Linked DNA regions of Callithrix jacchus. The protein of the gene in region 1 binds, or shares a complex with, the protein of each later gene. Links are inferred from orthologs where the notes say so. Each region holds a gene or a part of one and is shown in the gene's direction. Other genes may lie near its edges. The genes, in order: GPR161, GNAL and guanine nucleotide-binding protein G(s) subunit alpha isoforms XLas.

The links.
Region 2: the proteins of GPR161 (region 1) and GNAL are in contact, whole or in part, in a cryo-EM structure (PDB 8KH4), measured with the Homo sapiens proteins. The link is inferred for Callithrix jacchus from reciprocal best matches to the Homo sapiens genes GPR161 and GNAL. Residues at the interface, in NP_001254539.1 of Homo sapiens: Arg125, Ala128, Val129, Leu130, Pro132, Met133, Tyr135, Pro136, Met137, Ile139, Ile211, Val214, Ala215, Lys218, Ala219, Lys267, Ala268, Thr271, Trp327, Asn328, Lys329, Arg332; in NP_001135811.1 of Homo sapiens: Ala41, His43, Lys203, Val204, Phe206, Phe363, Cys366, Arg367, Asp368, Ile370, Gln371, Arg372, His374, Leu375, Gln377, Tyr378, Glu379, Leu380, Leu381.
Region 3: the proteins of GPR161 (region 1) and guanine nucleotide-binding protein G(s) subunit alpha isoforms XLas are in contact, whole or in part, in a cryo-EM structure (PDB 8SMV), measured with the Homo sapiens proteins. The link is inferred for Callithrix jacchus from reciprocal best matches to the Homo sapiens genes GPR161 and GNAS. Residues at the interface, in NP_001254539.1 of Homo sapiens: Arg125, Ala128, Val129, Leu130, Pro132, Met133, Met137, Ile211, Val214, Ala215, Lys218, Ala219, Lys267, Ala268, Thr271, Ile272, Trp327; in NP_000507.1 of Homo sapiens: His41, Lys216, Val217, Phe219, Phe376, Cys379, Arg380, Asp381, Ile383, Gln384, Arg385, His387, Leu388, Tyr391, Glu392, Leu393, Leu394.

Annotation. Positions count from the first base shown.
Region 1 is NC_133519.1:34,190,167-34,193,815, forward strand, and holds part of GPR161 (G-protein coupled receptor 161), read left to right. Parts: intron 1-1,235; coding exon 1,236-1,653; intron 1,654-3,649. UniProt on the Homo sapiens protein: Key negative regulator of Shh signaling, which promotes the processing of GLI3 into GLI3R during neural tube development.
Region 2 is NC_133514.1:50,860,909-50,864,557, reverse strand, and holds part of GNAL (guanine nucleotide-binding protein G(olf) subunit alpha), read left to right. Parts: intron 1-1,934; coding exon 1,935-1,993; intron 1,994-2,998; coding exon 2,999-3,119; intron 3,120-3,649. UniProt on the Homo sapiens protein: Guanine nucleotide-binding protein (G protein) involved as transducer in olfactory signal transduction controlled by G protein-coupled receptors (GPCRs).
Region 3 is NC_133506.1:54,470,913-54,474,561, forward strand, and holds part of guanine nucleotide-binding protein G(s) subunit alpha isoforms XLas, read left to right. Parts: intron 1-2,522; coding exon 2,523-2,581; intron 2,582-2,666; coding exon 2,667-2,786; intron 2,787-3,649. UniProt on the Homo sapiens protein: Guanine nucleotide-binding proteins (G proteins) function as transducers in numerous signaling pathways controlled by G protein-coupled receptors (GPCRs).

The DNA of each region.
Region 1 (3,649 bases):
GTACAAAGCAGGAAAGCTAAGTTAGTGAAGGGTCTGGTAACCACCATACTATAAGGGAAACTTTCTCACTGGCACTTAAGACTGCTGGGGAGGGGAAGGGCTGCCTTATTAACCTGCACACGCCCTCTGGACAAAGAATGTTTGAGTAGAGGCCACGGATCTACCATGAGGGTTGTGGTAGATAACCCTGTTGCTGTGTGTAGGCAGATCAGGCACCAGAGTTTTTGTCTTGATCATGGAAAACAATTGTTCCTTTCTTTTTGGTGTCTTCTCTGTGCAGAGAATGAGAGCAGGTGGGGACAGTGATCTGTGGGGTATTTTGGCTCACTGAAGTATATGAAGAGTGCTGGAGAAACATTGGTCTGTAGGATTGAATGTTAACATGTGTCAGCCTGGAGATTTAGCCAGCATCACCAGCCAGTCTTCCGAGAGCAGGGACGGCCCCTTATAGGCAGTGATGTCTGTGGGCTGAGACCTCAAATGGTGCCTCCACTTCCCCATTTACAGTTGCGCTTCCCCTCCCTCGCCATGTCTGATGAGAGCAGTAATAATGTCGCCGTATAAACTGTACCTGAGTAATCCCTGCTCAGGGAGCTCAGAACGATTCCCATGAGAATCTTACTGTCGAACTGTTAGAGCACTAAAACTGACTGGTGGTGGGGCTAAAATGCGGATTTGATTCTGTAGATGGAGCTGCGGAGCCTGAGGTTCTGCCTCTCTAGTGAGCTCCCGGGTGATGGTGATCCTGCTGGTTCAGGGCCCACCCCGAGTAACCAGGGTCTAAACACAGCAGTCTGCAGAGTGTCTCCCACAGACCACTTGTAACAGCCCCCCGCCCTGCCCCAGCCTGCTTGTTTAAAATGCAGATTCCTCGGCTGTGCCTGTGATCTCTGCGCCCAGAACCTCTAGTGGTGGAGCTCAAGGATCAGCTCTCTGCACTGGCACTTCAGAGGATTCTTAAGCACATTAATGGTTTTGAATCACTGGCCTTGGGAAAATGGATAGGATGGGTTAGACCAGAGGAAGAAACCGGTCAGGGGGACATAATCAGTTTCACACAGAGTTGGTTGTAGGAAATGCCCCACTTATGCAGCACATGGGAAGACTGGCTGAGAGTCTGCACTAGCTGGGTGACCTGAGGCACAGCCTTTAAGCCTCACCTTTCTTCCCTAAAGTGGAGATGATGGCATTTGATGAATCTTTTCCTGTCCCCTGGTCCTGCCTTATCTTTCCAGTCATCCAGCATGTTCTGCCCACCCCATGCCGAGGTGCACTGACCATGAGCCTCAACTCCTCCCTCGGCTGTAGGAAGGAGCTGAGTAACCTCACTGAGGAGGAGGGCGGCGAAGAGGGCGTCATCCTCACCCAGTTCATCGCCATCATTGTCATCACCATTTTTGTCTGCCTGGGCAACCTGGTCATCGTGGTCACCTTGTACAAGAAGTCCTACCTCCTCACTCTCAGCAACAAGTTCGTCTTCAGCCTGACCCTGTCCAACTTCCTGCTGTCCGTGTTGGTGCTCCCTTTCGTGGTGACAAGCTGTATCCGCAGGGAATGGATCTTTGGTGTCGTCTGGTGCAACTTCTCCGCCCTCCTCTACCTGCTGATCAGCTCGGCCAGCATGCTCACCCTCGGGGTCATTGCCATCGACCGGTAAGCATGCCTCAGACTTAGAAAATTGAGGGATTGCGGATGGAAGCTCATCTGGTGCAGTGTCCCTCTGACTGCCTTAGTTCCCTGGTGAGGGTCAGGGGCCCCTGCCAGGGGAGGATGACCAGACAGAGTTCTGCCTCTGCAGCCACATCTTCAACCAGACCATGTCTCATTTTGTCTGTGTATGTTACATACAATTTTATATTTTAGAAAGAGGTTCCACTGCCTAAAATAGAACATTCTGGAAACCTCTGATTCTTGGTTTGTCGATGAAGAAGCCGAGCCGCGGCAGGTTTCAGTTCCGAGCAGCCTTGGGGCCAGGGCCCTTGACTCTGCTGCACTTTCTCCCAGTGTGACTCCTGCTCTGTCCTGCTTTGGTGTTGACCAGTGGAGCCCACACAGGGCGCACCCTTCCCGAGTCCAGCTCAGCTGCAGAGACCCCCACCCAGGCAGCGTGGAAGGAATTGGAGGCAAACACCCAGATAGAACAGCAAGGTGGGACTATGTAGGGGGTCAACAGCCTTCTGAGCTGAGAGCCTCAGGGGACTGACAGCATTCTGGGCTGAGGGCCTCAGGCAGACTCTGACCCACATATTTCTTGGTGTTATGAGGTGGTTATGAGGAGGTTATCACCTGTGGTGATGATTATTATCAAACAGTTGTTCTGTGTTATAATCACGAGTGTTCTGTGGTTAATAATCATCACCACAGGTGTTCTGTGTTTTCTCATAGCACCAAGATAAACCAGGAAGGCAGCTGGTGCCCACTTACCACTAATCATGGACAAACTAAAGAGTATTCTCCACAAGGGAGCCATGGGGCAGGGTCACATATCCCACACTTAAAGAATTGTTTTAACTGGTCTGTGATATGCATATACTATCTTGCTACTTTAGAATGCCCCAAGTAGTTTTCTACCTGTGGGGAGAGGGTGGTGGCTAGGTTTTCCTTCTCATGGTTCTTCTTAGCAAACAATATACTTTATCATACACTCAGCATTTCTCAACACATCCTCACTCCCCACAGTCCAGGACTGGAAGGAGAGCAAGGGGAGGGAAAATAGCCAGAGATTACAAGCAGTGACACCGGGGAGAGGCAGTGTGCACATTTGGTAACTCGGGCTGCCCCTGCCCTCAGTGTCACCAGTGCACAGGGAGGTGATGTTCCTAAGTGGCATATTGAGGGTTCTTCAGGTTCCCACATTAAGCTGTCAGATTTAGTTGTACAAGTCTCGTGGGCTTTGGCAGCGAGTTTCCCACAAATGAGTGCATTTATTAGAATTTTGCTAAGGGCCACTTCATGAGGACAGGGAGGATAGATTCAACGTATGTGTGATTTACAGGAATTGGGGAGGGGAGTAAGTAGTGGGGTCAGGGAAAACACAGAGTGGGGCTAGCCAGGGGTGTTGTCACTGGGTGAGACAAGTCCCCGGGCTTTTTTGACACTGTCAGTTTTTCAGCCGATGAGTGCTAGTAGAACGGTCCACCAGAGCACAGGCTGCAGCTAGACCTGAGGCTGGAATCTGGCAGCTCTTTGTGGCTGCGTTGTGGAGGCAGAACCAATGAAGCCATTGGTCAAAATGAATCAATTAGCTTCTTCTTTTTTCCCTTAGGTGATAATACAGAAAATACAATGAATGAAATTCGAAACACTCATCATCTAATCAGAAGCAATCACTGTTTATGGTTTTAGTATATTTGCTTCCAGTAATTTTTGGTTGTATACAGCAAGTTTTTGAAACAGGCTTCTGGCACCTGTGGTTTTCTGACCTCCTTTTTTCATTTAGGTGATTGTGAGCCTTTTCTCTTCTTTGCAGACATTCTGTAAAGAAGAAGGTGATTTTTCACGGTTATGAGGTATTCCATCCTGTGGAGGTTTATAAATTATTTTTACAGTCCCCTATTCCTGGTTTAGGTGGCTTCATATAGCTTGCTATTCTCTATAGCATTCTGAGGAGCATGTGTGTGTTGTGGAATTGCTGTATTCTCAGTAACAA
Region 2 (3,649 bases), on another chromosome or scaffold:
GAAGGGTTGGGGGGCTTAAGGGGGCTTCATCCCTGAATGTGCATGGGTGCCCTTTCAGGTAAGGGCAACTGGGGTGAAATTTGAACTCTAGCAAGAGTTGAAGTGTTGATTTTACTGCCTACTTTAAAGTAGAAATGAGGACACCTGAAAGGAAAGCATGTTTGCATCTGAGTTGTAGATTTGATTGGCCCTTTTATTAGATCAGGAGACTCATGAAATTTTAACCTTTCAGATGCACAGTCACAGTTTGAGAACTGAAATTAGCAGTGTATGTGTGTCTCTAGCCCATCTCTTGGGTTGCCCAAGTGCAAACTCTGCCAAATGAGCTTACTTTCTTCCTTTTTCCTCCTCATGATGAGACAATAATTCTCCCTCCACAAAGCTCTTTTCCATCCTCACAGCTGTGACCCGAGTCCTGCTCCGTCACTTCCCCCGTGCCTAGACTCTCTCGGCAGGGCCCTGGCTGGTCTCCTATCTGCTAGCTTACCCATTCCAGTTGCCCTACTCAGCACCATGAAATGGATCTTCCCACAGCATGGCCTGGATTGTGCTATTCCTCTGCTGAAAATGGTTCGGGGATCACTATTGCCTGTGCATTCTATGACCCAAGCCCTCCACCTGTGACCTGCCCCACCCCCAGCCCTGCTTTACCACCTGCCACCTGCCTCACCAGGCTGGGTTGCTGTCAGGACCCTTGAGTTCTCCCAGCTCTTCCTGCTACAGCACCTCTATTCATCTTGTCCTCTGAGCCTCAGATTCTGCATGGGCTAAGCAAACCCCACAGATCTATCAAAGCTTCCGTCAGGACAGGCATAGTGGCTCCTGCCTGTAATCTCAGCACTTTGGGAAGCCAAGGCAGTAGGATTGCTTGAGGCCAGGGAAGACCGGCCTGGGCAACATAGCAAGAACCTGTCTCTACCAAAACAAAACAAAACAAAAAAAACTAAAGAGGCTGAGGTGGGAGGATCTGTTAAGCCCAGGAGTTCAAGGCTGCAGTGAGCCATGATTATGCCACTGCACTCCAGCCTGGGTGACAGAGTGAGACCCTGTCACTAAAAAAAAAAAAAAAAAAAAAAAAAAAAAAAAAAAGCATCTGAGCATCCCTCAGATCTCAGCCCATGGTGAGCCCTTAGAATTCCCATTGCATCTACTATGCAACCCTTGATGGTATACTGCCCTATACCTTTCCCAGTCCCCTTCGGCATGTATGACTCTATGGCTTAGGCCACAGGGTGCACTGGGTAGGGGCTGTGAGAAGAGGGGCCTGGGACTGGCCTGATGAAGTGCAGGATGTAGCTGAGAAACTGAGAGAACTGGCTGAGGTCACCTTTGCTGGGCAAGACCAGGGAGTGACTCAGGCTGGGCAGAGAAGCCTGAACTAAATCAGGGAAGTGATAAAGACCTACTGCAGGTCACCAGGCAGAGGCGGCTGGAGACAAGACACATGTAGTATCGACAGATCAGCAAGGAACCTTTCTCAATTCTCCAGGGGAATGAGGACACTCCCGCTTACAGTGTCCTGAGAGCTGGAATAAATCATAAGAAGAATCTGCCCTGGGCGGGGACTTAGCTTGTACTCAGAGAGGCCTTAGTGTCTGAGCAAGTAACCTCTAGCATTACTGAGCTAGTAACTACTGCATTTATTATAGACCTACTGTGTGACCTCAGACACTGCCGGCTGCTGTCTGCTTGATCTCTCACCCCTGTAGCCCCACTGTGGGGTGACAGAGGAGGGACAGTGGCTGAGAGAGGTGGAGCCACTTGTAGTCCAGGATCACACAGGGAGTGATGGTGCAGGCCAGACAGTGACCCAAGCCTGACTCAGACCCAGGTGTGATCGCTGGAACCTGCTGATGATAAAGGAGGAAAGCAAGCATGTGTGCCGTTGTCCCCTGCTTCCCTCAAATAATTGTGTTCCTCTTGCTCTTCCACAGCATGTTTGATGTTGGTGGCCAGAGGGATGAGAGGAGAAAATGGATCCAGTGCTTTAACGGTGATTTTCATGCTCTCTCAAGAAAATGGGAGTGAATTCTAACAAACTATTTTTGAATTAGATAATCTCTAATCTAATTAGTATGTAAAGTATAGCATTTTATAGATTATTATGAAGCTCTTTCCTTAGATACTAATCTCATTTTTAATAAGCATTTAAGGGCCAGGCACAGTGGCTCACGCCTGTAATCCCAGCAATTTGGGAGGCTGAGGAGGGCAGATCACCTGAAGTCAGGAGTTCAAGACCAGCCTGGCCAACATGGTGAAACCCTGGCTCTATTAAAAATACAAAAATTGCCGTGCACATTGGCTCACACCTGTAATCCTGTTTGAAAGCACTTTGGGAGGCCAAGGCAGGTGGACCATGAGGTCAGGAGTTTGAGACAGCCTGGCCAATATAGTGAAATCCTGTCTCTACTAAAAATACAGAAATTAGCTGGGCATGGTGGTGCATCCCTGTAGTTCCAGCTACTCAGGAGGCCGAGGCAAAAGAATCGCTTGAATCTGGGAGGCAGAGGTTGCAGTGAGCCAAAATCACACCACTACACTCTAGCCTGGGCGACAGAACAAGACTCTGTCTCAGAAAAAAAAAAGCCAGATGTGATGATAGGCCTGTAATCCTAGCTACTGGGGAGGCTGAGGCAGGCTCAGGCAACCACACCCAGCTTATTTGCAACCCAGGAGCTGGAGGTTGCAGTGAGCCGAGATCATGCCATTGCACTCCAGCCTGGGAGACAAGAGTGAAACTCCACCTCAAAAAAAAAAAAAAAAGCATGTAAGCATCCCAAATTTACATGTGTCTTTTGGGGTAGGTGCTTCATCAGTATTTACTGAAACAACAAGTGATGCGCGTGGTGCACATCCAGGCTGTTCTGTGACTGAATAGTCCTATCATTGAACGAATGTTTTGACGAACTGAGTAGCTTCTGGGTGTGTACTTTCATGTAACTTCACAGGAAGGATTTCTACCTGAGATGCTTTATTTTTTCTCTTTTCACCCCACAAGACGTCACAGCTATCATCTACGTCGCAGCCTGCAGTAGCTACAACATGGTGATTCGAGAAGATAACAATACCAACCGGCTAAGAGAGTCCCTCGATCTTTTTGAAAGCATCTGGAACAACAGGTGATAAAAATAACAAATTCAGTCTCACTACTGATTGCAAATTTTCTTTTGTTAAAAATATGCTCAGGCCAGGCATTGTGGCTAACACCTGTAATCTCAACACTGGGAAGCCGAGGTAAGGTGGGTCACTTGAGCCCAGGAGTAGTAGGAAACCAGCCTGGACAACATGAAGAAACCTTGTCTCTACAAAAAATAGAAAAATTAGCCAGGTGTGGTGGTACACACCTGTACCAGTTACTCAGGAGCTTGAGGTAGGAGGATCGCTTGAGCCCAGGAGGTGAGGGTTGCAATGAGCTGAGATCACACAACTGCACGCCTGCCTGGGCAACAGAGCAAGACCCTATCTCAAAACACACAAACACACACAGACAGGCTGACACACACACTCTCTCTCTCTCTTTACTGATAAATCCAGAACCGTAAGAAGTATCTCTTTTGGTTCATCTATTGTATAGACATATAAAATGTGGAGTGTTCTTTGATGAAGTTCTGATGGTTTCTTTTTCAAGAAAATTTAAATCTCTGTTTTG
Region 3 (3,649 bases), on another chromosome or scaffold:
ACCATCAAACACATGTCCTTTTAATTTATAACATCGAAATAATTGATGTTAGACTGTAATACCAAGGCCAGAAATTCTTAAATTTAGAAATGAGCTTCGTTCGATTCTGCACATACAAAGCAGACAGTCCCACAGAGCGGTGAGGACTTGGTCCCTTTCACTTTATGGTGGTTGCTTTAAGAGTGTGGGGGCCCGAATCAGATTTCAGATTTGTGCACAAGGTCCGAAGCTCACCTCTCCCTGTCATCTGTGCTTCTGAGGTTCTCTGGACCTGTACCACTTTTACTTAAATGGCCCTGAGGGGATTCCTGGCACCATCTGTTCTGCCTCCCTTCCCCAGACACCCACCTCCACTAATGAGCATGGCCCCTCTGAACTCTGCCAGCTCTTCAGTGTAGAAGAACAGTGGCTCGGAGACCTGTGAAGCCTCCCTCAAATAAGTACGCAGACGTTAATTCAGAAGGAAATTCGGGAGTAGAGTTCTTTGAGAAAGGGAAGACCACATTATTTATGGAAGGCCTGTGGGCAGGCTTGCACTTGACCCCACCATCCATCCCCTCCCCTCCTTCCCCACTGACCGCCCTGCCCTGCTCGTTCACTGTTTCTAATTAACCTCCCTCCTCCTCTTCTCTACCTTGACTTTGTCATGTTCTAGTCTGGAGGGAATTATATGTTTAATTTCTACCTCCATTCTATGAATTGGCGCATCAGCCAAGTGAATGCTTCAAAAACTGGGAATCTCAAAAGATTAAAAAAAAAAAAATACAGTGAAAAAGATAAACTTTATTCCCTGTATCTCCCACCCCCATCAGTTTCTGCCTCTGCAAATCAAGGCTTCCCCCCCCCCCCCCCGCCCCGCGCCTCATTTTCCCCATCAGAGAGGCAGGACCATAGCACTTTCCTTCTGTACAACAATGCTCTCACCTCCCAGGGCCTAACAGGTACAGCAGGTGTGCTGGGTGTGCTGCACATTTTTGGGCTGTAGACCTGGTGAGACACTCCGAGAGGCCCTTTCTTGCCCCCCCTAAAAACACAAACTCCAGAACCTTCCCTGGCTGTGCTTATATTAGAAGGCTAGTTTCTGAAAGACATACGGCATTTGGATCAGTGTAATCTGGTACAAAAATTAACATTAGGGTCCCCAGAAGCCAGAGGGTGTGGCCTTTACCTGTAGGACCAGTGACCCTGAATATAGATCATTCCGTAAAGACCACACAGGCCATCCCATTTGTCCGAGATAAAGTCAAGGAAAAGCTACAAAACCTTCAACCTCTACTTACCAGAGGGATCTGGCCCCTTCCCCCATAGAGTATAAGAACATCTAGGGGGTGGAATCTTATTTGATACCTATGCACATGGACCAACATGCACTAATATCATAAACTAGAAAGTTCATTGCTGCTAGTTGAGCGCCCGGAGCAGCACACCTGTGACTTGCTGCCAAGCCCTGAGACCTGTAATGAACCATTTTTTTCTTTGAGATGGAGTCTCAGTCTTTCGCCTGGGTTGCGGTGGTGCAATCTCTGCTTACTGCAACCTCCACCTCACAGGTTCAGGTGATTCTCCTGCCTCAGTTTACCCAGTAGCTAGGATTACAGGCACGTGCCACTACATCCAGCTAATTTTTTATATTTTTAGTAGAGATGGGGTTTCACCATGTTGGCCAGGCTGGTCTGGAACTGCTGACCTCGTGATTCACCTGCCTCAGCTTCCCAGAGTGCTGGGATTGCAAGCATGAGCCATGGCACCTGGCCCTTTTTTTATTTCTCCCAGACGGTCTTGCTCTGTCATCCAGGCTGGAGTGCAGTGGCATGATCTAGGCTCACTGCAACCTCCACCTCCCTGGTTTAAGCAATTCCCCTCCCTCAGCCTCCCGCACCCTGTAGCTGGGATTAGAGGTGCATGCCACCAAACCTGCTAATTTTTTTGTATTTTTAGTAGAGATGGGGTTTCACCATGTTGGCCAGACTGGTCTCAAACTCCACACCTCAGACAATCTGCCCTATAGGCGTGAGTCACCGAGTGCCCAGGCCCCTGTATTGAACTATTACTAACACCAGTACCTGTGCTCACTGGTTCTCTCAGTATGCTAATCTAGCAACTGAGTGAATTTTACATCAAAATAGGGGACTGTTTTGCTCCACTGCAAACTCTTAGTGACCTGTCATTTCAGCCTCACCCCTACCCAGATGCTGACAGGGTCAGAAGTGTTAGTATGTAGTATGGGGCTTCAAGCCCATGGGACCACCTGAAAGAGTCGGTGACCTGTGTGCAACTTTTGGTACAGTCATGATTGCTAAGGCAGTTTGCTCATCTGTCCCATTGGGCATGTCCTCCGGACACATTTGGGAGGTTACAATTTGCAGCCATGTCTATTGAGCTACCTCCAATCTTTGCACAGATCTGAACCCACAACTCCTTGAAGAACAGAATACTATGCTTTGTAGTCGGAATATCTTTATGCAAGCAATACTCTCAATTGACACGATGCAATATGATTTTCTTCTTTTTTCAATCCCACTGCAGTGAGAAGGCAACCAAAGTGCAGGACATCAAAAACAACCTGAAAGAGGCAATCGAAGTACGTGCTGGCTCCTTGCACTTTCTGTCTTACAGCCCCTCCCAGCCAGTACTGCTCCCTGACCACTTTGCTCAATCCTTTTCAGACCATTGTGGCCGCCATGAGCAACCTGGTACCCCCTGTGGAGCTGGCCAACCCTGAGAACCAGTTCAGAGTGGACTACATTCTGAGTGTGATGAACGTGCCTGACTTCGACTTCCCTCCTGTAAGCTACACCCCGACTTATGTGGCCTGAGATCCACTCACCTGAGCATAGTGTTCCTCTAAGAACATCAGTGACAGCCCTGCACATGGGCAAAAGTGTTCAAACCACACCTCAGGCAAAACACATTTCAGTGACATCCATCACAAATAAACATCACTCTTTAATATTACAATCTCATTTTATTAGATTGTAAATGTTTAGGAGGAAAATAGTTCCTGAGCTACGGTAGGCTTAATTATTCACATCTTAGGACAAACAAACCTGTATGTTAAATACGGTGCACAAATACTAATTGTCCATTTACTCCACTGGAAGTGCCCTAAGTTCCCTTGGGATGCCTCAGTGAAGTGCCAAATGGGAGACATTCTCATTTTAAACAGGTGACCTTTTCATATTTATTAAGAGTTTCCTAAAGTCAGTCCTGGTCTTTGGGCAAATGAAATCTTTTCTCATTATTAAAAAAATGTTTAAATATATCTAAATTGTAATTCAAAAATACATCATAAAATAGAACACATGGAAAAGACTTTCCTCTGGATGCATGACACCATTGGCTCCCTAAAGAACTATTTTTAGGGAACAAAAAAAACCGTTCAAGCCCAAACATATACGTCTAGGCCCCTTCTTGGGGAGAGTGGCTTATAAGCAGGGAACTGGAAAGATGGATGCGTTTGTAAGGCCCACAAGGAAGAGACTTGTCTACAGCGAAAACAATGAGTTACTGTTTCCTTTTGTCAGGCTTTCGTGGGAATTTGTGTTTGTATATTTTAGATGGACTTGGCTGCAAACTTACATTAGCAGAGAAATTAATAGTATTCAGTTAGTATAGATAGCTAAATTTTTTAAAATAGCATTATTTTGAA